4 linked regions of the Pelodiscus sinensis genome follow. The protein of the gene in region 3 purifies or fractionates together with the protein of the main gene of each other region. This does not show direct contact. Links are inferred from orthologs where the notes say so. Each region holds a gene or a part of one and is shown on either strand. Other genes may lie near its edges. The genes, in order: tonsoku-like protein, UBN2, ASF1A and UBN1.

Region 1 (7,355 bases), on a different chromosome or scaffold from region 3:
ACGGGCTGAGATTCAACATGCCGAAGCAGACAAGGCAATGGGACTTACGGTCTAATTAGAAGAATTTCGGCTCCCGGGGGGGCTGGCCACTAGGTGACGAGGAGCCACCAATGCGACGCAGCCAGGAGGCCGGCAGAGGCTCTCGGGCGAGGGCTCTCCAGTCCCTGGTCGGTACACAGCTCCAGAAGAGCAGCCCCGGCAAACCCAGCGCCACTGCCCGACCACAGATGTGACGTCACCCAGCAGCCGGGCAGAGAAGAGCCGCTGGGCTCGGCTGAGGCGACCAGAGGGCCTGGCTCGGGGAGCTCCCCCAGAGAAGGCTGCAAGGGCAGCTCCTGGCTCTCTGGTGATACGCCGGGAGGGGAGCCCCAGGGAGGGGCTGAGCTGGGGGTCGAAGGAACACAACCAAGGGCCCTGAACCAGGTCAGCCGACAATGAGGAGGAGTTCGGGGGAGGGGAGGTTTGGGAGCTGCCTCCCACCGGAGACAAACTACGTTGCTAGGTTTGGGGGGGACTCGCCTTCGTGCGCAGGGTGCGGGTCACTCGCCAGGGTTCTCCATCCTCAGCAGGAGAAAGGTCGGCTCTGTGGCCGGCAGCCTCCCCCAGCTGGTCCCAGCCTGCGGCCTTCTCTCTCCAGTCCCCAGGGCCAGGCACCCCTCCTCCCGCGCGGTTAAACAGCCAAGAGCATGGCACCATGCCCGGCTCTGGAACCCACCGGGGGCTGCTCCTGGGCCCCGGGCTCCCCACAGGAGGACAGAGGGGAGCCCCATGCAGACGCCTCTCCGGAAACAGCACGCCCGGCCCCCTGCTACGCTGGGCATCGGAGCCGACGGGCCAGCGACCGGCTTCTACGGATCCCAGCCCACAGATCCCACTCGGCCCCTGGGCGTGGCAGGGCCTCATGCTTCCAGCTCCCCGCAGAGGGAGAACTCAAGGGACAAGGCAGGGCCCCCAAACCTCTCCAGCCCCCCCCCGCGCCAGCCTTGCCATCAGACAGCCAGGAGCGAACCGGCCACCCTCAGCACCGGGCCAGGCCCCGCTCACCATGTCGAGCCAAGATCTCCCCAAGCTGGTTGCAAAGGACAGCTTCCTCCTTGAGGCTCCCGCTCCTCTGGGCCTTGTCCTTCGCCTTCTGGAGCTCTGGGGGCGGCAGGAGAGGGACCCTCAGCCCTGGCAGGCCCACGGTCCTCGGCCCTCTGCCTAGGGAGCGCCCGGCACAGGGCCCCAAGGCTAGTGATGGGGCCTTACTCCTGGGCCCTGCCCTCTTGCATCTGGCTCCAGCTCCCCCAGCCCATCAGTCCCAGCTACACCCCCGCCAGCCGCAAAACCCCCAAACCCGCGAGACCAGCCACCTCCCAGCCCCACCACTGCCCAGCCCCCCCGCCCCCAGTACCCGCCCAGCCCCCCAGTACCGCCCAGCCCCCCAACACTGCCCTGCCCCCCAACACTGCCCTGCCCCCCAGTACCGCCCAGCCCCCCAACACTGCCCAACCCCCAGTACCGCCCAGCCCCCCAACACTGCCCTGCCCCCCAGTACCCGCCCTGCCCCCCAGTACCGCCCAGCCCCCCAACACTGCCCTGCCCCCAACACTGCCCAGCCCCCCAGTACCGCCCAGCCCCCCAACACTGCCCTGCCCCCCAGTACCACCCAGCCCCCCACCACTGCCCAACCCCCCAGTACCGCCCCGCCCCCCAACACTGCCCTGCCCCCCAGTACCGCCCCGCCCCCCAACACTGCCCTGCCCCCCAGTACCGCCCAGACCCCCAACACTGCCCTGCCCCCCAGTACCGCCCCGCCCCCCAACACTGCCCTGCCCCTCCAGTACCGCCCAGACCCCCAACACTGCCCTACCCCCCCCCAGTACCCGCCCTGCCCCCCAACACTGCCCTACCCCCCCAGTACCGCCCCGCCCCCCAACACTGCCCCTACCCCCCCCAGTACCCGCCCTGCCCCCCAACACTACCCTACCCCCCCAGTACCGCCCAGACCCCCAACACCGCCCCGCCCCCCCAGTACCGCCCAGACCCCCAACACTGCCCTGCCCCCCAGTACCCGCCCAGACCCCAACACCGCCCTGCCCCTCCAGTACCGCCCCGCCCCCCAACACTGCCCTGCCCCTCCAGTACCCGCCCAGGACCCCCAACACTGCCCTGCCCCCCCAGTACCGCCCAGACCCCCAACACCGCCCTGCCCCTCCAGTACCCGCCCCGCCCCCCAACACTGCCCTGCCCCTCCAGTACCGCCCAGACCCCCAACACCGCCCTGCCCCTCCAGTACCGCCCCCGCCCCCCAACACTGCCCTGCCCCCCAGTACCGCCCTGCCCCCCAACACTGCCCTGCCCCCCAGTTACCGCCCTGCCCCCCAACACTGCCCTGCCCCTCCAGTACCGCCCAGCCCCCCAACACTGCCCTGCCCCCCAGTACCGCCCTGCCCCCCCAACACTGCCCTGCCCCTCCAGTACCGCCCAGCCCCCCAACACTGCCCAGCCCCTCCAGTACCCGCCCAGCCCCCCCAACACTGCCCTGCCCCTCCAGTACCGCCCAGCCCCCCAACACTGCCCTGCCCCTCCAGTACCGCCCAGCCCCCCCAACACTGCCCAGCCCCTCCAGTACCGCCCAGCCCCCCAACACTGCCCTGCCCCTCCAGTACCGCCCTGCCCCCCAACACTGCCCTGCCCCTCCAGTACCGCCCAGCCCCCCAACACCGCCCTGCCCCCCAACACTGCCCTGCCCCTCCAGTACCGCCCAGCCCCCCAACACTGCCCTGCCCCTCCAGTACCGCCCAGCCCCCCAACACTGCCCTGCCCCCCAGTACCGCCCTGCCCCCCAACACTGCCCAGCCCCCAGTACCGCCCCGCCCCCGATCGCCCCCCCCGCGGCCCCCCCGCTCACGGCGGATCTCCCGGCTCCGCTCCCCGCTCATCCCGCCGCGCCGGGTTCGCGCCGCGCCCGCCCCTCCCCAGAGGCGAACGCCATTGGCCAGCAGTCACCGCGAGAACAGACCCCATAGCCAATCACAAGCCGAGGCCTGCCGGCCCGCCCACCCGCTCAGCCCGCCCCCCTCTCCTGATAGGCTGCAGCGGAATCCATCCACGGGGAAACCTGCCCAGCGAGCTGCGCTTGCGCGGGACCCGGCACTACAGCTCCCAGCATGCCCCGCGAACGCGCCCTGCGCGGGCCCACAGGGCCGACTTCCCGCCTGGCTGAGGCTCGCACGCGCCGTAGGCACAGGGGCCGCGCTGCATGCCGGGATGCGTAGTCCGGCCAGGCCCTGGCCCGCGAGCGTGTCGGCCGGCGTGTCCGGGCAGGGGCGGGAGCAGCGCCCTGGTAGGTAGGGGCGGGGCTGCTCGGCCGGGCCCCATTCACCTGGGGGGGGGGGATGCACCCGCACCCCGACCCGGGCTGCACCCCCCCCGCCCCGGGGCACCCCGCTCCCCCCGGCCGGGCTGCACCCCACTGCACCGGGGCACCCCGCTCCCCCCCCGGCCGGGCTGCACCCCCCCGCCCCGGGGCACCCCGCTCCCCCCCCGGCCGGGCTGCACCCCACTGCACCGAGACACCCCGCTCCCCCCGGCCGGGCTGCACCCCCCCGCCCCGGGGCACCCCGCTCCCCCCCCCAGCCGGGCTGCACCCCCCCGCCCCGGGGCACCCCGCTCCCCCCCCCGGCCGGGCTGCACCCCCCCGCCCCGGGGCACCCCGCTCCCCCCCCCCGGCCGGGCTGCACCCCTCTGCACCGGGGCACCCCGCTCCCCCCCCGGCCGGGCTGCACCCCAATGCACCGGGGCACCCCGCTCCCCCCCGGCCGGGCTGCACCCCTCTGCACCGGGGCACCCCGCTCCCCCCCCCCGGCCGGGCTGCACCCCCCCGCCCCGGGGCACCCCGCTCCCCCCCCGGCCGGGCTGCACCCCACTGCACCGGGGCACCCCGCTCCCCCCCGGCCGGGCTGCACCCCCCCGCCCCGGGGCACCCCGCTCCCCCCCCGGCCGGGCTGCACCCCACTGCCCCGGGGCACCCCGCTCCCCCCCGCCGGGCTGCACCCCACTGCACCGGGGCACCCCGCTCCCCCCCGGCCGGGCTGCACCCCACTGCACCGGGGCACCCCGCTCCCCCCCCGGCCGGGCTGCACCCCACTGCACCGGGGCACCCCGCTCCCCCCCCCGGCCAGGCTGCACCCCACTGCACCGGGGCACCCCGCTCCCCCCGGCCGGGCTGCACCCCCCCCGCCCCGGGGCACCCCGCTCCCCCCCCCGGCCGGGCTGCACCCCACTGCACCGGGGCACCCCCGCTCCCCCCGGCCGGGCTGCACCCCCCCCGCCCCGGGGCACCCCGCTCCCCCCCCCCAGCCGGGCTGCACCCCCCCCCGCCCCGGGGCACCCCGCTCCCCCCCCCCGGCCGGGCTGCACCCCCCCGCCCCGGGGCACCCCGCTCCCCCCCCGGCCGGGCTGCACCCCTCTGCACCGGGGCACCCCGCTCCCCCCCCCCGGCCGGGCTGCACCCCCCCCGCCCCCGGGGCACCCCGCTCCCCCCCCCCGGCCGGGCTGCACCCCCCCGCCCCCCGCTCCCCCCCCCCGGCCGGGCTGCACCCCCCCGCCCCGGGGCACCCCGCTCCCCCCCCCCCGGCCGGGCTGCACCCCCCCGCCCCGGGGCACCCCGCTCCCCCCCCCGGCCGGGCTGCACCCCACTGCACCGGGGCACCCCGCTCCCCCCCCGGCCGGGCTGCACCCCCCCGCCCCGGGGCACCCCGCTCCCCCCCGGCCGGGCTGCACCCCACTGCCCCGGGGCACCCCGCTCCCCCCCGGCGGGCTGCACCCCACTGCACCGGGGCACCCCGCTCCCCCCCCGGCCGGGCTGCACCCCACTGCACCGGGGCACCCCGCTCCCCCCCGGCCGGGCTGCACCCCACTGCACCGGGGCACCCCGCTCCCCCCCCCGGCCGGGCTGCACCCCCACTGCACCGGGGCACCCCGCTCCCCCCCCGGCCGGGCTGCACCCCACTGCACCGGGGCACCCCGCTCCCCCCCCGGCCGGGCTGCACCCCACTGCACCGGGGCACCCCGCTCCCCCCCCGGCCAGGCTGCACCCCACTTCCCCCCGAGCCGGGCTGCACCCCACTTCCCCCCGCCCCGGGGCACCCCGCTCCCCCCCCCCCGGCCGGGCTGCACCCCACTGCACCGGGGCACCCTGCTCCCCCCCGGCCGGGCTGCACCCCACTGCACCGGGGCACCCCGCTCCCCCCCCGGCCGGGCTGCACCCCACTGCACCGGGGCACCCCCGCTCCCCCCCCGAGCCGGGCTGCACCCCACTTCCCCCCGAGCGGGCTGCACCCCACTTCCCCCGGCCGGGCTGCACCCCACTCCCCCGGGGCACCCCGCTCCCCTCGAGCCGGGCTGCACCCCACTTCCCCCCGAGCCGGGCTGCACCCCACTGCACCAGGGCACCCAGAGGTACCCCTGGCTGGACTATTCCCCAATGAACCCCGCACCCAGCGGTGCCCCTAGCCAAACTGCCCAAGTTGCGCTGCCCAGTCAGTCAGGCCATGCTCTGGCCATGGAGCGGGTTCAAACCCCTCTGGGGCGCCAGTCTGCCTCCACCAGGGGCATGTCACCGCGCTGGGCCCGCTCACCTGGGCCCCTTGCTGCGCTGGGTGTGGGGGGGGGGGGTGTTCACACCCCCTAAGCCAGAAAGTTCCAGTGCAGGAAAGCGCCGGTTAGACCTGACCTCAGGTCCCACCCGTGGCTACTGCCCGTCCGTTGTTCTAGCCCAGCGCCTGGGGTCGCAATCCGATGGCCCAGCTGAGAACAAAGGCGCCTTTCCATCCCGCTGCGCCGTGACGCCCCGTACGCAGAGGCCGGAGATTCTAAGGAAGTTCCTTTAGTGAGGCTCAGCTGGGAGGGGGGACGCAAGACAAATCCGACTCCCGCACACGGTCCGGTACTGGGGAGGGGTTGAGAACCGCTGCTTTGCACGGCTGTAAACCCACCCTGCCCCGACAATGGAATGGTCAGATCTTATCTCACCCCCCTTTCAGGCTGTTCATGGCACCCCACCACGGAGACACTTGTCATGCGGTTACAGCCCTGTGCTGTGAAAGGCCCATGTGCATGGAGATCGAAGTAGGCCCAGGCATATTGTGACCGTATTCCTGTCACCGAGGCATGGCTTAATAATGCTCTCGCAGACATGGCAAATGGTAAACCTGCAAGCATGGAGTTTGACGTGCCGGCTGCCCCACGTGATGCTCTGCCCAGGGCGGCACAAATTGAACTGATGCAAATAGAGAGGCCCTTGCAGAATGCGGGGAGGTCTACGCTATTCCAAGATCTTTCCGGTATGCTGAAAGAGCTGCTTTGCGTCTTTTGAGCAAGCCTGTTATTTCAAAATAAAACAGGCACGCTATTCCGACGTCCCTGTAAACCTCATTCCACGAGGCATAAGGGACGTTTTGGAATAGCACTTTATTTCAGAATTTGGCACTGCAAAATAAGCGATTTGGAAACTAACTCAAAATAAGCTAGGCAATTTGCGTAGCTCAAATTGCCTAGCTTATTGTGAGCTAAGGGTGCAGTGCAGATGCACCCTCATTGCGCATGCTGGTCACAACACCTATATTAACTATTACAAAAAACAGGACTAGGTAGCACTTTAAAGACTAACAAGATAGTTTATTAGGTGATGAGTATTAATCTGAGGAAGTGGGTCTGGCCCACGAAAGCTCATCACCTAATAAACCATCTTGTTAGTCTTTAAAGTGCTACATTGTCCTGTTTTTTGTTTCAGCTAGACAAGCCTAACACGGCTATATCTCTGTTACTATATTAACTTTAGCTGCACCGGAAACAAAAATAGCTTGACACATTCCAGAGGATAAAGTAGAAAAAGTCCAGTTTTAAGGGGACTTGTACAGTATCTCATCGGAAGTATTGACCAGACACCAAAAGCTACTGCCATTTTCTATAGTCTAGCATCCTGTAGCAGATAAAACCCGAAGTGAGTGTAATATCTGTCAAAACAATGTGTGATTGACTCTTTGACTAACTTTTTTAAGCAGCAGGGAGCAACCGGCCTCCACCGTTAACCCTCTGATCTGGTGGCGAAACCGTGCTGCAGCCAGACTAGCAGGGAGACAAAATGACTGAACCCGACAAGAAAAAGAGTCGAAGGCTGTGCACATTTAAAGACGAGTGGCTGCAACGGCCAGAGTATCGGAATTGGCTTATAAAGGCAAGCGACGACTCGGGCTACTGTTCTGTTTGTCGGGTGCAGCTCACCGTCAAGTTTGATTCTGCAAAAGCTATCAAGCGCCATGCAGAAACAAAGGGTCACAAAGTCAAAGCGCAAGGACAGGGATGGGGTA
Region 2 (6,860 bases), on a different chromosome or scaffold from region 3:
TAAAGATGACATTGAAGAAGCAATCACTAACTGCTTAATAAGCAGTCTATTCTGGTATGAATTTGCCCAGTTTTATTCTCATCTAGTTTCAAAAGCAGTCAGACTGTGCTTGCTTAATACCTGCATAAGATCCCTTATAGGGAAAATATCTATAATATACATTTTGTACACTGTGTTACTTATAAGCCTCAAGCAAGAATGTTCACAGCTCTTTTACAACTATTGCCTTTGCATTCAGAAGTTTCCATTTCAAGTCTTGCTAAAAAGAATTCCTTATGAAGGATAATCCTTCATATTCATGTTACAGATGGGTGTGGTGGCTGCTTAAAACAAAACTGTGACTCATCTAAGTTGTTTAAAGCTTGACTGTGAATATAAATAAGACACAATATCCTGGCTTCAAAGTTCAACATTTCAAAGACTGATTTGCAACTTTAGACTGCCTCCGGATGAGGTGGCCTAATAGAATAGCTTTTTATACCAATCATGTATCCTACTCAGGCAGGCTTTGACCATCACACTGGTCTATTTTCTTTTTACTTGTCCTAAGTATTCATTTGATTTTTTTGGGCTCAATGGATCCTCCCCATATGCTGGAGGGGTGGAGGTCCTTTAGCCAGGGGCAGGCGTCCTGGACTGTAAAAAGACTTTTCGGTAATTCAGTCACTTACTATCAACACTATTTCCTGTGCCATATTATGCCACCCTTACTTCTGCGCTGTTGCCTTAAGGGCTAAGGCTACGTTTACACTACAATGTTTGCCGGAAGAGGCAATGCAAATGAAGCGCAGATTGGCATTTTCTCGTGCTTCATTTACATAATCTCTTCTGCTCTGTTTTTGTGCAAGGGGTTTTTGCGCTAAAACAAGCAGAGTGGATGTTTCCTTTTTGCGCAAAAAACTCTTTTGCGCAAGATCCTAATGCCTCAAAAAAGGAGGTATAATGATTTTGTGCAAAAGGGTTTTTTTGCGCAAAAAGGAAATAACAGAAACCAAGATAGACATAGATAAAAACAGAAGTGCCTGTCAATTGTATGACCCACCCGCTTAATTAGTCTCATTAACACAGGTCCTACAATTAACAGTTACCTCTGCTGTTATATATTACTTGTTTTCATTCCAGTGCATTTCTAATTCATAGAGTGGGTTTTACCCTTGACAGCTCATGATTCTATATATTTTGGTTAGTCTCTAAGGTGCCATAGGACTACTCGTTTTTAGTTAGAAAGTTTCCCCCAATATCTAACCTAAGAGTCCCATGCTCCATACTAAGCACATTTATTCTTGTCGTACCTTCAGTGGACATGGAAAACAAGAGATTACTATCCTCATAATATCCCTTAACATATTTGAAAACTATTATATCTCCTCCCCCTCAGTCTTTGCTTCTCAAGATTTAACATGCTCATTTTTAAAACCTTTCTTCATAGGTCAAGACTTTTATCTTCTTTGTTGCTCTTCTCTGGACTCTCTTGAATTTGTTCACAACTTTCCCAAAGTATGGTGCCCCAAACTGGACACCTCCCCTGAGGCATCACCAACACCACATAAAGTGGAACAGTTACTTCCCATGTTTTACACATGACTCTCCTGTTAATACACAAGATACAGAATATTTGCCTTTTCTGAAATTGTATCATATTCAATGTTCATATTCAATTTTTGATCCAATATAACTGAGCGCTTTTTTCCCTATTCAGTATAGAGAGATGTATCAGAATCAAATCACCTTGTTTCTTACTGTGAACTGGTAGCCTGTAAGAGGCACCAATAGCCCACTGTGTACTTTATTTGCTTGAACATCAAGCCACAAGCATTTAAGATTATTTCTTCCAAGTTATCAGTAACTCAGAAGCAGGCAGTGCCCTTTGGAGTGCCACTCCTGTGCTGCTTTGCCCACTTGATCCCTAAACAGTTTATAACCATTCATTTCTAACATTGCAGTTGTACAACTCATGCCACCAGGTTTCAGTAATACTAACTATCAAATTTAGAGTCATAAATGAGGAATTCCAAATCTACTTATTTTACCCAAGCTCCTAGCACTGGTGTTTAACCAATGAAATAATGTATTCATTTTATGTCCTTTGGTTTGTTGGTTTACACTCTCAGCATCTTGATTCTGTGCTAAATAAGTGGTCATCTCTTCCCTCTTTTTCCCCTCCCCTTTTGTTATTAGTTTACAAAAAGAGAGGACAAAAAAGGAAAGATTTTACTACAGGTTGCATCTCCCTAAACTGGGACTTTCTTGTCTGGCAACATCTGTGGTCCAGCAGGATACCAGACGAGAGAGTCATGGGGCAGGAGGGCCAGCAGCTGAGAGACCCAGGAAAGGCATGGCTGGTGGTAGTGGGGCCAGAGCCTCAGCAGACCAATGGCAGTAGTGCAGTAAGGTGCATGCTGCCCTGACAGCAGGGTTGTGCCGCAGCAACATGAGCAGGACTGGTTCCAGCCTGCCAGTGGGGACAGAGCCACAACAGCCTGGCTGGCAGTAAGGACACCAAGAGAAGCCCATCTGGGGCCACATGCTGGCTGGCAGCAGGATTGGTGCTACAGCAGCAGGCCAGGGCTGCGTGCTGCTGCGCACTGCTGTGCCAGTGGGACTGGAGCAGCAGTTCTGGCAGCAGGGCCGGGGGCAGCCGTGTCGCCAGGCCAGCAGTGGGGACTGAAGGAGCTAGCGGTAGGGAAAGACAGCAGGCAGAGAGAGCCAGAGGCAGGGGACCTGCCCTGGTGCAGCAAATTCCCTAATCGGGGACTGCTAAGATCCCCAGAGTGCTGGATCAATGAGGTCCAACATCTCACGTATTTAGTTCTCAAAGAGAATGGTGCCAAGTTTGCCTCACGGAGTTCCTTAAGTTAAGATGAAGTGAATTTAATCAGGCCCTGACAATTTGAATATATCTAATTTATCATAATACTGTAACCTGTTGTTTTTCTCTTCTGGCTTGTATTCTTTCTAACATATCTAGTCACGATCTTTATTAGTGAAGACTGAAAAAAAATTATTAAAACACCTCAACCTGTTTAGGGCCATCTGTTATTCACACAACTCACCAATGGAAAAAAGGTCTTACATTTTCCTTCCTCAAAGTATTTTAGCCTCACTTCTTACTGCCTTTTATGTCCTTTGGTAGCTGTAACATCCACGTGCTAATCTTTTGTACTCATCCTGGCACTCCGCCACCGCCTTTCCAGGGGCTGTATTTTTTTTAAAAAACCGTTTTGGTTATTAAACATCTTCTGCCACCGTCCTAGTGATCTCGTTCTCTCCGGTCTTTCCTCTGCGGGACACTTCCCGGTTTTCCAGTCGGAGAGGTGACAGCTGAGGTTCCCGGCCCCCTCGCGCAAGGGGCAGGACTCACCTCGGCTGCCGGGGGCCGGAGGGCGCTCCGGGAAGCTGAAGCGGCTCGCGCGCCCACCCCTCCCCAGCCGCGTCACACGCGCCCGCCCCGAGCAGGCCGAGTCGCTGAGGTGGCCCCATTGCTCCCTGGAGAGCTGAGGGAGGGACCTCTCCGGCGGCGCGCCCGGCACCGGGCCCTGCGTCTAGCGCTGCAGGACCGCCCCGGGGGTCGCGGTGCTGCCCATGTCCGTGCCCCGGGTCACGTAGGCCTCACGGCGCGGCGCCTCCGCCATCCGGCAGGCTCTGTGCGAACCCCTGCGCCGGGTAACCTGCGCTCGTGGCCCTTTAAGAGCCTTACCGCAGGCAGCGTGTATATTTCCAAGGCAACTGGGGGCGGGAGCTGGCGTCAGAAGCTTGTGGGCACTGGGGCTGCCGTGACGTAGTAACCGATGAGCAATAACAACAGCGACTTGGGGCGGTTCAACCAGGGCCCACGTTGTCTTACGCATGCGCGGCCCAGCAGCCTGCTTCTATTTATGTGGGGGGGCTCCAAAATGGCGGCGGTGCTAGCAGCGAGGCGAACGTAGGGAGCAGCTCCGATCGGGTGGGGAGGGAGGGAGGAGGAGCCGGCGGGGGAGTGTCGCCGTACGGGTGAGGCGGGGGCCGGTGAGTGGGGGGCGGGGGTCGGAGGATGGCGGAGCCGCGCCGGGTGCCGTTCATTAGTCTGTCACCCGTGAGGCGACGCGAGGGTGAGAGCCCGTCGCTGGAGCGCGAGCTCGGGGGCCGCGAGCCGGAGCAGCAGCAGCTATTGCTAGGGCGCGAGGTGCCGCCGCCGCCAGAGCAGCCGCCGCCGCCGCACGAGCTCTCCCGGCCGGAACCACAGGCTCAGCCGCCGCGCGAGACCAGCCCTCGGCCGGAGCCGCCGCGCGAGACCAGCTGGCCTGAGCAGTGCGAGCCCCCCCGGCCTGAGCCGCCGCAACAGCAGCAGCGCGAGAGTAGCCGGCAGGAGCCGCCGCCGCCGCAGGAGGCGCCACAGCCGCGCCAGACGGTCCGCTTGGAGGTGGTGCTGAAGGACCCCACCGAGGAGAGCTGCGTGGAGTTCAGCTACCCCGAGCTGCTGCTGCTGTGCGGGGAGCCGCGGGTACGGGACCCCAACTCCTCCCCGGGGAGCCGCGCGCAGCGCCCACCCCATGACCAACCCCGTCCCTGGAGTGTGGTGCCTGCCTCCTCTCTCCGGCTCGGGCGCCTGGCCCATAGCCAACCGCGCCCGCAGCCTGTCGGCAGGTTGCTGGGCGCCTCTGAATCCGGGGGTGGGCCCCGCTGGAGATGGACCGGGCAGCGCGTTGCTGAGGAGCCTAGGTGCCCTACTCTTCATATGCCCTGTGCAGAGGAGAGGACTCCATCTCCACGCTTTCTGGCTGCTGGTTTCAGTACAGTTTCCCTTCCTTAGACTCCAGAGTGCTGCCTCTCTGTGTCAGGAGGCCTGACTATCAGGGCATGCCTCTCTCAGGTTTTTATTCCCTGTAAGTTGGTCGAGTGCTTCCTTTCTTGCGGTGAGCTTTTTCAGACAGCTGCAGAGTGAAACTGACAGCTCCTGACAGGTCACACTTGTCTGCAAGGTTTTGAGCAGCAGGGTGAAACTGAGGCAGTCTTATGTGAGGTTCTTGGCTTGGCAAAGGTACACTGTTAGCAGTAGCAGTGCTGGAGGTATGTCCCTGTAGATTCAGGCTTATTTGGAATGTTAGACTTGTTAAATACTTCACTTTATCGGGGAGTAGGGGGAGAACTTCTGAATTCTGGGGCAAACCTCCTCCCCAAAATGGGTGGCTCATGCCCTTGCACTCTCCAGAAAAAGCTTCCCATTTGGAACTGGAGAGTAGATTACAAAAAAGCTTTATGCAAGGTAGGCTGCACCTGCTGCTCATCAGAGACCAGTATGTGGAGCAATGTTAGAATAGATACTTTAGACCTATTCTGTTCTTACCAGTTCTTGAGTGTTGAATGCTGCCTATCATATCCAAATGCTTTTTGTAGGTGCTGACAGTAGTGAAGTCACTTAGAGGATTTATGTAATTGTTGTTTTTCCTCTCATTGGTATAGAAAACACTGGGGTATATGTTCTCTCTTTGGGAATGTGGGGCTAGGTTGAGAATATGGACAGAATGACAGAATTCTGGTCATGCTGGATATATTGATTACAAAAGGCGTAAATACCGTTGTCTGTAGCACCATTTGACTTGGCCATCCAGAGCATTGGGGTGATCAGGGATGGGGAAGCTTTTTTGCGTTGAGGGCCTCTGGTCCACAGAAAAATCAGTCCGAGGCCACACACAAGTGAGAAGCAAAACAAAAAACAAACCCCTCCCCAAACTCTTACTGATATGGCCCCCAACTGAGAAGGAGAGAGAGACTCCCTACATTCCCCTCACACATCAGAGCCTACAGGGGCCCAGGCTAGTAGATTTGTGTGCTCCAGCCCCATGGTGGGACAGTGAAGGGGTGGTGGTTGGGGTGCTAGCATGGGCTCCCTAATGCTATGGGGAGTCCTGAGCCCGGGCCTTAGGTTTTCCACCACTGGGGTAGATAAACCCTGGGTACTCATTCAAAGCCTTTGAATGAGACAATACTACATCTTGATGTTCTACCCCTTTGACCTTATGCTCTTTTTGGAGAAATAGCATCACTTCTTCCTTCAGATTCAAGGGATTTCAGAAAATTAGAAGTGAAGATTCTGACTATCTCTTTTGGATCTGCTTTTCATAATGAGGTCCCTTCCTACAGCTACTGTGAATGTCCAGTGCAAGTTCAGGTTACTTAAATGGCTAGCTCGTAGTGAAAACCTATATATTGCATATAGGGATCTAAGGAATATTAGAGTTACTATCTTTGTTCCTGTATGAACATTAAATGGTGTTGAGTGAGGGAGCTGGAAATGAATGTTAAATGTTCAGAGGTTTAGTGTTTGTGATAGCTGAGTTCTTGTGCATTTTTAGTCCAGTTTTTACTTAAGGTCTCTGTATATGTAATTCGGTTAACATAATAGTCATATCTGGCTTGCAGGTGACTTCTCTTTCCCCCTTTGAAAGCATGAAAAATTAGTTTTGGCCATTGTTGTTACTGATTGCGCTGACAAGAGCCTTCTCTAAACTTAAAAAAAGTTGCATTGCTTTAACGATGCCAATATAATTTAAGTGTAAATTTATATTACTATTCATGTGGATAAACTGGTTTAAAGCTGCATTACATCAGGGAAATACAACTTAGATTAGGCTACCATAAGGTGGGTTCATAACTGTCTGGATAACTGTTCTCAGAGAATAGTTGTCAATAGTTCACAGGCATGCTGGAAGGGCATATGGTTCATTGGGGATCCATTTTGGGACTGGTTCTGTTCAGTATCTTCATCAATGATTTAGATATAGGCATAGAGAGTACACTTATTATGTTTACAGGTGATACCTAGCTGGGAGGGGCTGTAAAGTGCTTTAGAGCATAGGGTCATAGTTCAAAATGATCTGGAC
Region 3 (7,802 bases):
AAAAAAACCAAAACCAGAAAATATCAGACATGTAAAATGTCCGGTATTTTCTGGGTTTTTTTCCGGACAGAAGGCCACTTGGGACATTCGGGAGTGTAGGATTTAAAGGCGTCATGACTTTTTTTGTGGTTTTTTTTTTGTTTGTTTTGTTTTGTGCTCAACTAATTTTTTCCCCCGCCATGTTCAGTATTTTTTGTGAAACTATCTGGGAACCCTACTGATAGTATAAAACAGATTAGGAATCATATGGGGGCACGGTTACAGGAAGTAAATGCTCTTTCAGAATTGTATGCAAAAAGGGTAATTATCAAATCCTATTAGGACTCTGTGTCCAACAGTAACTTTTAAAATTGTTTTGACTAAATAGATGAAATTTTAAAATTAAATTGGCAAGTGATTGGTCTGCTTTGGAGAAAAAAGCACAATAGATGACTGAGATATTTAGTGTTTGGACATTAAAGCAAGGACACAACCTTCTTCATAAAATGATGAAGATTATTTGAAGATTATTTGTAATAATAATCATTGTAATGACTTCTATGAAAGCTCAATAGCTGTGGCCATATGGAAGTAGATGTGGTGATTGTGATGTACCTCTACTTTTCATTCTCAGCTGAACACAGGGATAATAGTGCAAAAAAATGAAGTAAACTTCTTTTTTCTGCTAATTTATACACTAATCAACCTGGCCCAACTTTCATTTAAATCAATCTGGTGTTGAGAGTGATAAATACAAATGCACATACATAGGAAGAGAGGGCTGAAGCTCTTTGCAGCATTGGTGGCATCCAAAAAGTCTTAAAGAGTAACACCATGGAAGCCTTGTTTACACTTGAGAAATCTTTAAAAAATTTCTCACTGGCTCAGCACAGGTGTTTACCATGAATCCCTACAAAAAAATGGCAGCTACTTCTCCAACTAAAAGAAATGGTGAACAGCACTAATACTAGGGTAGCAGTAAGATAATTTAAGCAAGTCTTAATTGTACACAGGGCCCTTATGGAGAGTGCCAGCAATTATGATAGACCAAAGGTGGTGGTGTTTTCTGTGATGTGGACACTTGCTCCCCATGGAACTGGTCTCACCAAATGCATTTTGTGTTAAGTCACCAATACATAATAAAGTAGCAATGACTGAAAGTTACAGATTTGGACTGGATTTGTATTAGTGGCACAAAGATACAAAACACCCCACATATCCCATTACCCAAGCTTTGAACTGTTTAGTCACCCATAAAGTAAAACCAGAAATAAGTAAGTTTATTTTCCCCTACTGCTTAAAATGTTGGGATCCCCAGGTATCACATGTCACTGACAGTGTTAGGGTATAAATAGCTCCTAATGGTTCTGCCCTCTTCATGGGGGACACAAGAAAGCACAAGCTGAATGCCTTGTGGCCAAAGGTACTCCCACTCCTCCCTCAAATGCTTAAGATTGGTCACTAGCCTGCTTCATTCACCTGTTGTGCCAGTGCTCCTGAGGGAAGCTGGAGGAAGCTTGCTCCCTTCTTTTAGTCCAGTGGTGAGACCAGGGGTCCCAGAGTGCTCCTCTGGCCAGAAGAGAAATGGATTTTACTTTCTGCTGTAAACATCTTGTTAACCTGCAGCACTGGCCCAATGCACTGTAGGACCACTGCTGTAAACCTTTTTGGACGATGCCTGTGGATTGCTAAAGTATTTGGTAAGAGTAGCCAGCCCTGGAGGCGTCGCAGCTGAGCGACACAAGAGGTTAATGTCTAGTCCACCCCCTTCACTCAGGAGTGGGTGGATACATGCTGACCGCACTCCCTGCACAACGCACCCCGCTCTGGGCAGGCTGGGGAGCAAAAGACTAGGTTTGAAGACAGAACCTGAGATTCCTAGCTGGCAGGACATAGCAGGGTACACCTACACCCCCAGGCTACCACCCAACAGCAACTTTCAAGTGAGTTCTAAAAATACTATTTCCCTCCCCCGCCCTCCCTTCCTCTCTCTCGGGGCGGGGAGTGTTAATAGCCGGAATAATACTAAATCTGTAAAGGGATTCAATCGGCTAGTTTGATTATTTTCAGACATTTTGTAAAATACTAAGTGCTGCAGCTACATTTGAATCTCTACTTGGAGCAGCCCACCCCTCTCGAAATATTTCCCCCCAAAGTATTCGAATCGATTGTCAAGACAATGAAAATATTTTATTTCTTGGGGGTGGGGGGTGTTCTCCACTTTGTGCAACCTTTCGGCAGCATTCCTCTTGGCTCTGCTCAGCAACAGTTCACTTCAGCAAAAGGGATGCATGAGAGATGTGCTCGTTAACCCCCTCCCTCTCTCACACACACACAGACACACACAAACACAAAGCTGGCAACATGGCTACCACCACTCAAACAAGTTCCTGGCAACTTAAGCTTACGTTATAAAATGCAGGGTTTGGATCCGAAATACAGCAGCACTCAACTCTGCAGCAGAGGACACAATAATCAACTTTCCTTTGCCTTTCAGCCTAACCGCGTCAGCCTAAGACAGAGCATTTCTAAGCAGCATTTAGATGCCTGCCAGCACATCCTTTCATCTAGTCACACCGAGACAGAGAAAGAGAAACTGTTAAATAGTAGAACCAGGCCTTTGCAAAGTTTAAACCGTTTAAAACCTGAAACTAATAGCCCTGGTTATAAAATCCGTACTGGGGAAAAATCTACTCACCTTCAGACAGATCCTCTATGCATTCAAACGTGATTTCGAATTGAAAAGGATTGTAGAAAGGCGAAGGATTATCCAACACCACTACATTGTTCACCTGAACCTTTGCCATATTTTGAAAAAAATACAAACAATAGGAATAGGGGGTTAATGCAGCACAGTAAAGTCCAATGTGTTGTTTTTTTGTAAAGCACACACTCCAGTGCCAGTACTTGATCAAGGTTGTAGAGCTGTGACTTGAGAAACTTTTTTTTTCTTTTATTTACAATAGGAACACTCCACACTGTTTTGCAGCTTTCCTATTTCACTAAACTACAGCCCATTCTGCTCTGTTAACTGGCAGCGTTGGCACTGATTGGCTGCACACTGAGCTATGACCCTCCTCCTGAAGCTTCCTGAAAGAACAAGATGGGCTCCTTTGCTCTGAATGGACTGAAAAACATTAGCTGCTGCTCCACCTGCTGGCCCAGAGTAGGAAAAAGGCTTGGAACAAAGTGACTAGCATAAATGAAACTGGGAGGAACTAATGAATGAAGGATGAGCTTGTAGTCTGAGTTTGAGTACTGTGCTCACAAAATATGTGCAAGGCACCACTGGATGGAGTTGGCTTTTTGTTTTTCCTCTCCTTGTTTATTATCCCCCTCCCTTTTTTCTTTTTTTCCAAATCCAGGTTTTCTTCTCTGTGTGGCCAGATGATGAATAGAATTATTTCATTAAGGAAAACATAGTTGAAGTTGCTGATTTTTTTTTCTCTTGCTAGTTTTAAATCTGTTTACCCTCATTGACTTTATTTCTGCTGTATAATGGTGCATTTCAAATAAACCCATGGGATTTAAGGGACCAGGCCTGAAATCTTTACATGAGAAGTTCTTGCTGAGGGCTTGTTCACACTTAAAATGAAGCAGTGCAGCTGCACCATTGTAGTGCTTCAGTGTAGACACTAACTACTAGGGATGCTAAACTGCATTTAATTAACTGTGTAACCACTAAAAATTTCAGTAGTGGTGGGGGGCAGTTGGCTCCCACCTTCCCCCCGCCCATGCTGCTGCCTCTGAAACAGAGGCAGCAGCATGGGGGGCAAGAGGACTACTCAGCTTCTTGAGAGCCAGTGCGCATGGGGAGCAGCTTTTAAGCCAGCTCCCCACACATACCAGGAGCCTGCATGTAACTGTGAAGGTTAGTGGATGAGCCCAGGTGATTATGCATTCACATCACTTCTAACTACATGGACGACAGAGCTTCTCCCATCGGTGCAAGTAATCCACCTCCCCAAGAATTGTTCTGTCAATGTAGCACAGGTCTACACCAGGAGTTCAGGAGGTCAGTATAGGAATGTCTTTGAGGGGTGGTGGATTTTTGACATCCTTGAGAGACATAGCTATACCAAAGTAAATTCCTTCTGTAGACCAGGACTTATACAATTAAAGTCTTTGATGTCAATGGCTCTCTTCACTTGACTTGAGAGTAGGCAAGAAATGGCTGTGGGATCCAATTTGTTATGTTTGAAGAGATGCTAGATAATGAGGTACAATGAGCTGGAACAGTCCTCAAGGTCCATATGGAAGGGGCCTCTTCATGAAGATCTCACTCTTTGCTCATGGAAGATGGGGCAATGACTCAGATAAGTGGCACCAGGCCCCTTCCCTCTAGCCTCTGGAGAGAGTAACTGGCAGGGTCATGGATCTGTGGCTGAGAAGGAGCCAAGATGAAAGACTGCGTGGAATGTCACTCACAATTCCCTGGGAAATCTACTCACAAATAAATACAGGTTCAGTTTGTATTAATTTCTGAATTGAGCCCTTGAGTGTAATGGAGTGTCTTATCTAAGGCAGTATTTCAGAGGATACTGCCTGCATGGAAAGTCTGAGCAATGCTGACAAGGAGCCTGTAGAGATCTGGAGAGCAGTGCTGGACGCAGAGATTCTGTGTCTTCAGCAGATCCCTGAGGGTTGCAGTGAGGTTTCCTCTCAGAGGCTCCCTCTTGTATGTTCTTCCAGAGCAGGGGACAATCTTGGTCTGTATTTACAAAGAAATTATACTGTCCTGAATATGATCTCGACTGTTTTTTATGCTTCTCACAGTGCTGGAATTTACTTCAGTTTTTATAACTGCTATTTAAACAGCCAGATGACATTGTCTACATTGTACTGTGCTTACTAGAGTGAAGCAAAGTCCAAGAGATCAGGGAGGATGAGACAAAATGAGAAAGATTCATCATGGCCAATCTCCCTAAAAAACATGTAGTGTGTCAGTAAAACAATTCTATGCTTATTAATTCTTCACTGCCTATTGGAAGTATGGAACTGCACTGACAAAAACTGCACCAGCCAAAGGGTTGGTGGTTCCTGGGCTCCATTAAGATCTTTGAACCCATTGCCGTTCTAGCAAGATGATCTTTGGATTGGATGTGGCCCTAGCATTCCATAACATCTTTAGGAGCTATGGAGTGTGGGGCATAGGACCATGTGTGATTCAAGCAGTAATGGAGTGTGGGGGGAAAGAGCTTGGGAGAAGGAAAGGGAGGAACTTGGCAGAAGATAAAAGAGAGATTAGGAGGGGAGAAGGGGAGTTGCAGATGTTTAAGGATGGATGGCCATCCTAGTAGTTGTAGTTGCAATCTCAAATCCCCTCATATTACATAAATACCTACTGATAGCATTATCCTGAAGTTGTTAACTCCTCTTCAGAACTAAGTGTTATTAGAGAAAAGAACTGACTTGCTGGAGAAAGTGAAAATTGAATAGTCTTGATATGTAAACAAGAAATGCATCAGGCAGAAATTCAAACTCTTCAGGGTCTCAGTGCTGTGAGGCTTAATTACAGCACGTCACAATCAGCTGCGTCCATTTGCAGATGCAGTGGGGAACTTTTTCTTTGGTTTCAATACCCATGGATTCCTGCTCTCATGTTTCACTTAAATTGGACATTCAAATGAATCCAATAAACAAAGAGAAACTTTGTCAGACCCAGTTCACAGGTTTGTGGAAACAACAATCACTTCTGCTTCACGAACTGAGGAGTTGGTCTCTGTGGAAAGATATGTTAAAATGATTTATTTTGCAGCATTTGTTGAATGGTCTTTTTTTTTTTTTTTGATGCCTTAAGTGTTGATAGTGGATCAGTTGTGTTCCTGGCATAACTTTGCTAATAGCATTGAATTTGCACCAAAAATTAATTTGATACGACAGATTTAGTCCTCTCTCATTCTACTTCCTTTTGTAAATTGTTCATATCGTAAAACCATCACCTTAAAATGTGGCATGCTTGGCAGATTTTCCTGCCATTACCTGGATTGTTATAGAGGGGATGTTGTACCAGCAGGTCTGAATTGAGGTACATTAGCAGAACTCTTTGGTGAAGCTTTTAACACCATATCTTGGGAGGTGCACCGTCCCCTTATTCCCCTGTCAAAATTTTAACTTCTAAATGGGGTGCTTTCTCTCCCTCTTCCTGGCACTAGCTAGTTTATTTCATCCCTCCCTTTCTTTCAAATGCACACATACTTTAAAAAAATATTAAATTGGAATGAACATTCTTCAGGTTTGACGGTAACTGCAGTAAAGGATTCTGGAGAATGGAATTTGGAAGCTGGTGCACTCGTGCTTGCAGATGGAGGTCTTTGTTGTATTGATGAGTTTAATAGCATCAAGGAACATGACAGAACCAGCATACATGAAGCAATGGAGCAACAAACCATCAGTGTAGCTAAGGCAGGGTAAGTGACATTTAAATGCATGTGATGAAATAACAAAATGTCTTTTCTCTCAATTCTGAAATATAAAAATAAATGTTAGATGTAGGTTTCCCCCGACCAATTTACATATTTCTTTACTATACTATACAGTTTTGTTTTAAAATTTCAAGGGAGACTCCTTTGCGCCCCTGTCAAGTTTATTCCTGGTGGTGGATTTCTGATGACCACCTCTCTTTTGATTTAACCTGTGTCCAGGTTGGAGCTTACAGCTCAGTTCAGAGTTCTTTTCAGCATAACCGCAACTACCTACTGTGTATATAGGAGAAATAACCTCCGAAGTGTTGTGTGGGCACAATTCTCTTGGGTCAAGTCTCACTTTACATTAATCTTATACAGACACAACTGCCCACAGCTAATATAATAAATATAGTGGAGAATAGATTCTTGTGTTTCTAGCCCAGACTGTTGACTTCCAAATGTGAGTCAAGGGTAAAATTAATGATTTCTGTCTAAGCCTGGAAACAGACTGAAAAATATCTGAGAGATAAGATGGGTGAGGCAGCATCTTTTATTGGTGGGAGAGACAACTTTTGAGCTATACAGAGCTCTTGTTCATCTCTGGGAAAGGTACTGAGAGTTGTAGCTAAATACAGGATCAAAGAGATAGCTTAGTGTAGGTAATTAGCGCATATTCTAAGTACCCAACAAAGGTGAAATGGCCATCGGGTCAAAAAGGGGGCTAGTGGGTTACAGATTATTATAATAAGCTCCCCCCCCAAAAAAAGCTTCAAATCAGGAACAAACTGCCTCCATTCACTTAAAGTAGCCCTCTGAAACCCAATGAACTTAATTTCAATGCTGTTAACCATTTAACTGCATAAACCTATAGCTAACAACCTTATCACACAGTCCCGATCTTTTTTCTGTGGTTTCTGGGCTCCTTTGCCGTGTCTCTGACAACTTCTCATAGGTAGCTGTATATTTGTTGTCAGTACAAAAATCTGTAGCATAATGAACATTAAACTTCATAGTGGAGTAGAATAGAGTGAAATTCATTTTCAAAATACATAACCCCTTGGTACAGAGCATCTCATTTCCATATTTAATTCAATATGGGCAACTCCAACAAGGTATCCTGGCTGCTCCTCTTTGAGCAGGCTAGTGGAGGTCACCAATGCCTAAGACTTAAGGTGGGCTGGGGTTCCCTCTGCATCAGCACCTTGTGCCAAATTGGGCGTGGTCTGGAGTGAAGAGAGAACCTGGCTCACTAATGTTGCTTTTTTGGAGGGGAAGCAGAACACAGTCAGCCTAAACAATTGTACTCTTCAGAATGGTATTTAACTGAATCATAGAATCATAGAACACTAGAACGGGAAGGGACCTTGAGAGGTCTTCGAGTTCAGTCCCCTGCCCTCATGGCAGGTCCAGGCACCA
Region 4 (7,853 bases), on a different chromosome or scaffold from region 3:
GGACAGCAACTATGCAACTGACGGGAATGTGTTAGTTTTCCCAAGCAATACCATAATGTTACCAGCAGCAGCACTGCAGTCAATATTTCTCCAGGTAACATTAACAACAATTCTTGCTCTTGCAAAGCACTTTTTGTTGGTTAGCTCTAGAAATGCTTTACAAAAGTAGAACAGTAATAGATATGTAGCCATGTTAGGCTGGTCTAGCTGAAACAAAAAACAGGACTATGTAGCACTTTAAAGACTAACAAGATGGTTTATTAGGTGATGAGCTTTCGTGGGCCAGACACACTTCTTCAGATCAAATTGTGGAAGAAAATTGGCATGTAAGTGAGTTTTAAGTTTGAAGCACTTTACATTTTAATTATATTCTTTAAAATGAAAGTTTTGCTTCTGTTGAAACTGACTGGTAAGACCTCTTAAGTATAAAGTTCCCTACTCACTACTGGCTGGCAGATTCCTCAGCTGCTAACTGACAACAACTTATATACAAAAGCAGGTACCAATAGAGAATACTCAAATGGAAATATCTATGTAGAGTATGAGTCCGTCTAGAGGCTCCCATTGTACAAGCTGTTAAGGAGATCTACTTTCAATGTTCTTTTATGAATATTCATGTTTCAAGCAATCCTGGTACCAACAAAGCACTGCATTCAGTCTGTATCGAATCAAATCATCATTATGACATTATCTGTTGTGCTTTCCAAACACTGCTTTAAGTCATTTCAAGGAAAATTCTAATAAGGCAAAAATAACAAGAGAATATTGTTCAGTAGTAAGAGTTCATATTTAGCAGTAAGTAGTCCTGGTTTCTATTCCTAGTTCTATCACCAAGTAGGTCTGTGATCATTGACAAGCTATTTCACCACTCTGAGCCTCAGTTTGCTCATCCTTAATACAGGCAATGCTCTTGGGAGATGGGCAAAAAAGAATGAGCATTCTGAAATCTTAGCTGAAAAGTGGAACGTTATTAGATGCTCACCTTGTCACCTGAGGAAACACCTTTCACTTTCCCTCGAGTATTCTTTAGAAGCTCTGGGTAGAAGAATTCTGGACAACGTTTGTGATCTGGCTCAAAGAGAGTGAGTGTGAGGCGAACCGCTGATGCAGATGAGTCCTGGGGCTGCTCTGCTCCTGCAGCCTCCTCTTTACGAGGCTTCTTCAAGAAAGTGTTGCTTAGCGGGCCTGGCAAAGAGGTGAACTGAACCCTGTGGGGCTCCGTCATGGCTATTATCAAGTCTTCGCAGGTCTCATGGCATGGTTTCCATTAGTTCAGAGAAGTTCTGGTGAAGCTTTGTGCATGTGCATACATGGGGATTTCAATTAAAGGACAAACAGATGTTTAAGGAGATAAGAGCACATTGGAAGAAGAAAAGATTATTGGAATTAGAGATCCCTAAGAAATAGCTGTAGCTGGCAGTCTCACAGCTTGCTGCATTCTTCAGAGAAAGGCTGATTCTCAGAGCAGAAACAACTCTAAAATTCGCAGTCCCCTACATTTTAATACCTGCCCATCCGTAACGATGCCGCCTGAACGCTGTGCAACTCCATTTCTACAGGGCAGAGTGAAATAACCTGGTGCACAGTGCAACCTCCAGAAAACCAGTTTTAATATGACTGAACACGCCTTTGTCGCAAACGTCAGTCTGGGCTACGCCACGCTGCATCAGCGCTTTGCTTTGGATGGCAATTATCAAGATGCCAGGAGAGCCAAATGCACCTGCCCTTCCTCTGCACTGTGCTCAGACACATGCTTGCCACTGTCTGATGCCTGGTCCATGCCTAAAGGTCAGCGCACACGAGACTGCCTCCCAAAGAATCTTCTTGACATTTCTGATTAGAAAAGAAAACAAAGATCCAGCTTAAAACAAAAAGGATTTAAGGGGAACACCCACCTACCCCCTCAAAAATCCAGCTGACATAAGTACTGGCTCAAAAAATGTCAGTGACAGCTGATGGCCTGGCTCAGAAAGTGACACCCCCCGTAGCATAGTGGGGGTCACAAACTCAATGCTCCACAAACCAATGAGGGGAAGCCAGCAGCTGCCTCAGACACTACACAGCCCCTAGAGGCAGTGATGGGGAACCTACGGTCCAGCCCCCAGCTTGCCTGGATCTGGTCCCCAAGGCTCAGGGTTCCCCTCAGATTTGGGGAGGCCGGGCTGGAGCTCCAGCCCTCCCCACCCCCAACCTTCTCCAGGGCTGGAGCACACAAAATCTACTAGCCTGGGCCGCCTACGGCTCTGGTGTGCGAGGGGAACGTGGGGAGCGTCTTTCCCCTTCCCAGTCAGGGCCCACCTGAGTGAAGGGTGTGGGGTGTCTTCCCCCACTTGTGTGCAGCCGCTGACGGGTTTCCTGTGGGTCAACAGCCCCCCACTCGAATAAGGTTCCGCGCCCCAGTCCTGGGGGGGGACTTGTGTCCCAGCCGCTCCAGGCGGCCCCAGGCCGGGCATCTGACCCACGCACAGGGGGACGGGGCCCCGGACTGCCGGGGGGGGGGACGTGCCCGCCAAGCCAGATACCCCGATAGCGCCCAGCAAAGGCAGGGGGCGGAGAGAGGGAAACCGGCCCCGGGGATGCGCTCGGGTCCCCTCTCCCGGGTGAGCCCGCGGCGGGCAAGCGGGGCCAGTAACGGTCCTCTGGGCCCGCGCGGCCCCGGCAGGGAGGGGAGGGGTCGGGCCCGGCGCGGGCGGAACGGAGGGAGGAGCAGGGCCGGGCCCGCGGACCCCCGTGTGGGGCCAGAGGGGGAGGGACCGGCCGGCGGGAGGCGGGCGGGGCTTGGCCCGGCCACACCGCTAGGCGCGGGGGGGGAGGGGCTGTGCGACAAGCCCTGCCCCGCTCGGGCTCACCAGCGCTCCGGGCTCCGCCGCCTCGGCGCACTCCCGGGCCGGGGCCGGTCCCTGCTCCCGCGTCACGTGCCGGAGGCGCTGCCCGCGCGGAGGCGGCCACAGAGGGTCGCGTGCTACGCCGGAAGCCAATGGGCGCGAGGAAGGCGGTCACGCGCGGGGGGGGGGCGGGGGAGCGGCGCGGTGACAGCGCGCCCAGGTCACGTGGCACGGCCTGCCCTATCCCGGCGGCACCGCCCCCGCCGCGGAGGCTGGTCGCGAGGTGGGCGGTGCCCGTCCCGTCCCGGCAGCCCCTGCGCCGCGCTGCTGCTGCTGGCTGAGTCGGTAAGATGGCGGCTGTGAGTCTGCGGCTCGGAGACCTGGTGTGGTGAGTGTGGGGGCCGGGGCGGGCCACTGGGGCGCGGGGCTGGCGGTTGCCGGCGGGCGGGGGGGGTCTGTGTGATACCGGGGCGGAGGCAGAGAGCGGAGAGCGGGGGCGGGGCTGCGGCTGGGTGGTGCCGGGGCGGGGGCGCTCCCGGGGTGCGCGTAGCGATAGCGGGCAACCGGGGGAGGGGCACAGCGGTAGCCACGGGGCGGGCAAGCCGGGCTCGCGCACCCTGAAGCGCTGATGCGGGGGGTGGGAGCGAGCCCCGCCTTCCCCGTGTGCAGGGCCCGGGCGGTTGTGAGCGGGGCAGGGCAGGGTGGCAGCTGGGCGCTTGCAGAGGTGGTGGCAGTCTGGAGTCGTGTCAGGGATGGGATGGGATGGTGCAGGGCTCTTGTCTAGGCATCACTGGGGGGGGGGGGCATTACACGGGCCACAGAGGCTCTTTCGGGGTATGCGAATAGAGCCAGAGACTTGCTTGGCCTGGCGTTACTGGGTTAAGGACAGGGTGGGCTACAGTGCAATGGGGCTCTATTTCAGAGTGAATATGGCATAGGCTTCACCTGTAACACGGGTCATGTGCTGTTGCCTGGGAGTCTGTCGGAATAAAAGGGTTGGAAAATAATTGTTGTAGCATTTTTTTGAACTACAGGGCAGGGTGAAGCAACCACCTAGAGAACAGTGAAGGTGGAGGAAGAGGGGTAATGGAGTGATTCCTTGGAGGATGGTGTTGATCATATGGGAGTCATCCTTTGGTGGCTGAGACTAGTGAAAAGAAGGGGTGATCTTTAAAATCTGGGTTCTGCTTTTAAGGAGTGATTTATGTGATAAGCAATATAATACAGGAGTGGGATTTTTTTCCAGGTTGGGGTAACCTGTTGGAGCTCACAGGACCAACTTTCCCCTGTCACCACTGCTTTATCCCCAAACCCAGTTGAGGAGTCATGGCCTCCATATTTACAGCCCATGAGGATTTATGGGACCGCCTTCAAAGCTTGTTAGTACTGTTCTGAAGTGTACAGGTTTTACTGTGCTTCTAGTTCGCTTTGAGTGACGGGGTAGACATCACACTAGGTCCTGCAACAAATAGCTAATCCCCAACACGCAAGTGTATGCATTTATATTTATATCCCAGATAAAAAGAAGTGCGTGGTCCAGGCTGACAACTGCAGTTTCTCATCCGAAACATTGACAGTGGTGTGAAGCTGTCTAATTTATATAGCAAAGTAAGTAAAGGTTGATTCCTTTAGCCGAACTTGTTTCAAATGAGTGGTTGGGGAGTGCACTGCTGTTAGTGATGTTTCTGAATACAGATCATCCAACTTGAGTTTCATACATGGCAATATAGTCAAGGCACAGCCGCTAGGCCCACCTAGAAAGAACTGCAGCCATAAGATTTGGAAGAAGATGGGAAAGCAGAAAAAACTTGATAAAAGAAGAATGGATCAATGCGACAGTAACAGAAAGTCATGGTATTGGTTAGTGTCCTTCTAAGCAGTGTTTCTGCCATTACCAGCTTGCCCTCTCTGGAATCTTCACCTCATGGATGTTGATGTGCTATTTGCTGAGAATTTTAGTTCAGGTACTTGATACGGATCCTTTGCCAGTCTCATGCAAGACAGAGACTGATGCCAGATAAGGTTCTGTGAACATTTGTAGTCTGTCTGAATGACAGGCGTAGAAGGACTAGGCTTTCATGCTGATGCCGATTTTCCCCACCTAGTCTGTGAGGAAATGGTTTGGCTTATACTTTGTGATGAAACTGGCAAAGGCAGGAAATAAACTTCTCTGTTTCTAGTGGGCCTGCAGTATGTTTTACCAATCTTAGTAGTTCAATGAGCGGCTGGAAAAACGGGTGATAATGGAAGTAATTTTGCGACCTTTGATATAGGAATTACTGTCTTAAGTTATAAAATAGTACATTTTAGGAATCACAGCTACCTGAATTGGAAACATATGGCTATTGTGCTTATTCATCTGTTCTGTCGTGAAGCGTCTTGTTATCCACCCAAACTCTGAATTTCATGTTGATGCAGGCAAGTAAACTAGTCATTTGTAAGAGAGGAACAAAATGACATCCAGTCTTATCAAAGCACTAAGAACTGTAATACAGATCTTTTGGGTGCTAGCTTTGCCACCTCTTTTCTTAATGATTTAGGCCCTGATCCTGTAATGAGCTTCATTTGCGTGGTTGTCTGGACCCATGCAGACTTCATTGGGGCTCACCATGGTATAGGAGTTTGCTCACATGGCACTTGTTGAAAGATAAGAGTATTGGTGAGTGTTCTTCCAAGCTGAAAAATTCTTTTTGTCTTGGTAGGTCTTGTGGTTATATTATGTAAGTGCTGGATATTGGAAATAAATTGTAGAGGACACAGATAAAAGTGGAGCAATTCTCATTCCTGATGCTAGTGGCTGATCATTTCATTTTTCTTCAGGGGGAAGCTGGGCCGGTATCCTCCTTGGCCAGGAAAGGTGAGTGTGTTTCTATCCTGAAAGGAGCAGTTCATGAAAATAATTCTAGTGAAGATTTAAGATCCTTATAGTTTTCTTCTTTGATTTTTAGCTAAGAAGCTGTTTAGCCTCAGTTTTCAACCAGACTATGCATCAGGAATTTTATGTAATTCAGAAGTTCAGTCTGTCAGTAGCAACTGTCCATTCAGATGGAATAAAAAGCAGTAGAAACCAATTTGCAACTGATTGTATCCCTCAGTTGTAGCAATTTAATCCCTATCACTTTCTGCAAGACAGGTTTCTCTTCCCCCCCCCCCCCAATAAATTGCCTAAATTGGCTACATGTACGGTCTTAAGTAATAAATAGGAAAAGAGAGTCCAGATTCTCAAACTAATATTTAAAGTTACAGTTTTGTCATGTTTTTCAGGAGAAAACATAGGGTGATTGTGGATAAAAAGTTCAGGAATATGGAAAGGTTTTTTTTTTTTAAGTCAGATTGCAGATGCAGTACTAAAAAAAAGTGTTCTATTTTTGTTTTTTAATGTAGGTAAATGTGGTGACCTAACAAATATAGGTGTTCTCTTCATGACAAAGAACGAAGTGTGTTCTTAACTTGCTAGCTTAACTTGAAGACAAAGCAATTTGTACATTTTAACTTGACCAGCTAACTTGTGTGAAGACTATGGGAGTGTAGAATTAACTTGTTCTTCTAACTTGTATTAAAACTACAGCTACCTTGTCTTCACTTGCATTTTAACCCTGAAATGCATCCTTTTCTGTACTGAAGACTAGGCCTTAAGTGACTGTTTCCTTACGGGAGCATGGCTCTATAAACCCAGCTTCGCTTTCCAAATTTTAAAAAGAGACTTTACTCCTGGAGGATAGGGAGAGCCTCATGTTGCTGATCTTTTTGCACAATAAAGCCTCTCTAAAATTCCACTGTGCAGTGTTGTGCATCACAGGTATAACTTTGTAGCTTACAGAGAAGGTTTGTTCGTCTTTACTCACACGTGCCTTCTTTCTCAGGTCTAAAAGCCTCCCAACACCCAAAGACATGACTATTTAAAATGAAAAAAAAAAAGCCATGAAAATAATGGAATTCATAACAGCTGTATTAGAAGTCCCATATTATATTCTAAATAGCAGGCTAAGTCTATAATGCAACAGGATAATTGATGCTAACATTAGGCACAGTGCTGTGAGTAACATAAAGAAATATATGGATTGTGTATATTGGGTGGAAGACCTTTGCTACAAGTAGAAGCACCTCCCCACCACTGTTTTGCTTTAAAAATATATTTTAGCAAAACCCATGAAATGGGTTTCTTGCAGATGTATACTGTAAACGTGAAAAAGCCACAGACTGCTATTGCAGCCTCTCTAAACAATACTGTCTCCTCTCTTTGCTCCTCAGATTGTTAATCCGCCTAAAGACCTGAAGAAACCCCGTGGAAAGAAGTGCTTCTTTGTGAAGTTCTTTGGAACAGAAGATCAGTATGTACCCACTCTCTTCATCTGATGAGAATGTTGCTCTTTAAATCATAGGGCTTTCCTAAAAGAGTTTTATGCTAGCATAATAAGGTGTAGCTCTGAGGAAGATTGCCTTCTATTCTCTTTATTTTAACTATTGGTCTGTGATACATCTTCTCATGTGGGTGTATGAAGGCTGCAAGCATGTGTTGATTTTAAGTGCTGCTATAATGGAGTTTTTGGTAGTTGATCACTTGCATGGGCATAGGTGAACCTGGGTTAACAGTAGTGTAACAGTCACTTTTTTCAGGCATAGTTTGGGTCTCTAGTTTCTCCTGTCATGAATATAAAATGGTTTTATTTCTGTCATTCATAAAGTATTCTTTATGAATTTTGACACAAAATGTTGCTTGTATATTTGGGAAGACTGTTGTGCATTTGAGATCACAGCGGTGGTAAGCCTACCAAAAACCACTTTTTTTATTAAACAGCATTTTGTGATGAAGGGCATGTACCAAAATGAAAGAAGTCACACTAGTCTGACAATTATATACCTCCTATTGCTACAAATAACTCCAGATTCCTGGAACTGAAATGTTGGCAACTCCCTCCCCCCACCACTGTTTTTTTTAAATATTTAAAGTAATTTTTAGTTTTGTTATTTTCCTGAATAGTCATTTAGCAAGGAAGAAAATGACCAATTTAAAAAAAGTTGGTTATG

What was found.
Region 1: the proteins of ASF1A (region 3) and tonsoku-like protein purify together in Homo sapiens (affinity purification with mass spectrometry; 4 studies listed by BioGRID and IntAct, counting the BioPlex papers as one, with this or other methods). This does not show direct contact. The link is inferred for Pelodiscus sinensis from reciprocal best matches to the Homo sapiens genes ASF1A and TONSL.
Region 2: the proteins of ASF1A (region 3) and UBN2 purify together in Homo sapiens (affinity purification with mass spectrometry; 3 studies listed by BioGRID and IntAct, counting the BioPlex papers as one, with this or other methods). This does not show direct contact. The link is inferred for Pelodiscus sinensis from reciprocal best matches to the Homo sapiens genes ASF1A and UBN2.
Region 4: the proteins of ASF1A (region 3) and UBN1 purify together in Homo sapiens (affinity purification with mass spectrometry; 6 studies listed by BioGRID and IntAct, counting the BioPlex papers as one, with this or other methods). This does not show direct contact. The link is inferred for Pelodiscus sinensis from reciprocal best matches to the Homo sapiens genes ASF1A and UBN1.

What each region holds. Positions count from the first base shown.
Region 1 is NC_134712.1:957,274-964,628, forward strand, and holds the start of tonsoku-like protein, read right to left. Parts: upstream 3,009-7,355; 5' UTR 2,925-3,008; coding exon 2,894-2,924; intron 1,141-2,893; coding exon 1,045-1,140; intron 1-1,044. Other genes in the region: uncharacterized protein LOC102461747, read left to right, coding at 7,130-7,355. UniProt on the Homo sapiens protein: Component of the MMS22L-TONSL complex, a complex that promotes homologous recombination-mediated repair of double-strand breaks (DSBs) at stalled or collapsed replication forks.
Region 2 is NC_134711.1:87,635,704-87,642,563, forward strand, and holds the start of UBN2 (ubinuclein-2), read left to right. Parts: upstream 1-3,847; 5' UTR 3,848-4,030; coding exon 4,031-4,480; intron 4,481-6,860.
Region 3 is NC_134713.1:84,927,975-84,935,776, reverse strand, and holds the start of ASF1A (histone chaperone ASF1A), read right to left. Parts: upstream 3,014-7,802; 5' UTR 3,011-3,013; coding exon of another isoform or gene 2,946-3,010; 5' UTR 2,787-2,945; coding exon 2,678-2,786; intron 1,549-2,677; coding exon 1,459-1,548; intron 1-1,458. Other genes in the region: DNA helicase MCM9, read left to right, coding at 6,215-6,389. UniProt on the Homo sapiens protein: Histone chaperone that facilitates histone deposition and histone exchange and removal during nucleosome assembly and disassembly.
Region 4 is NC_134726.1:5,831,055-5,838,907, reverse strand, and holds the start of UBN1 (ubinuclein-1), read right to left. Parts: upstream 3,009-7,853; 5' UTR 2,850-3,008; intron 2,841-2,849; exon of another isoform or gene 2,299-2,840; intron 1,834-2,298; 5' UTR 1,226-1,833; coding exon 983-1,225; intron 1-982. Other genes in the region: GLYR1 (cytokine-like nuclear factor N-PAC), read left to right, coding at 3,176-3,213, 5,646-5,682, 7,077-7,156. UniProt on the Homo sapiens protein: Acts as a novel regulator of senescence. Involved in the formation of senescence-associated heterochromatin foci (SAHF), which represses expression of proliferation-promoting genes. Binds to proliferation-promoting genes.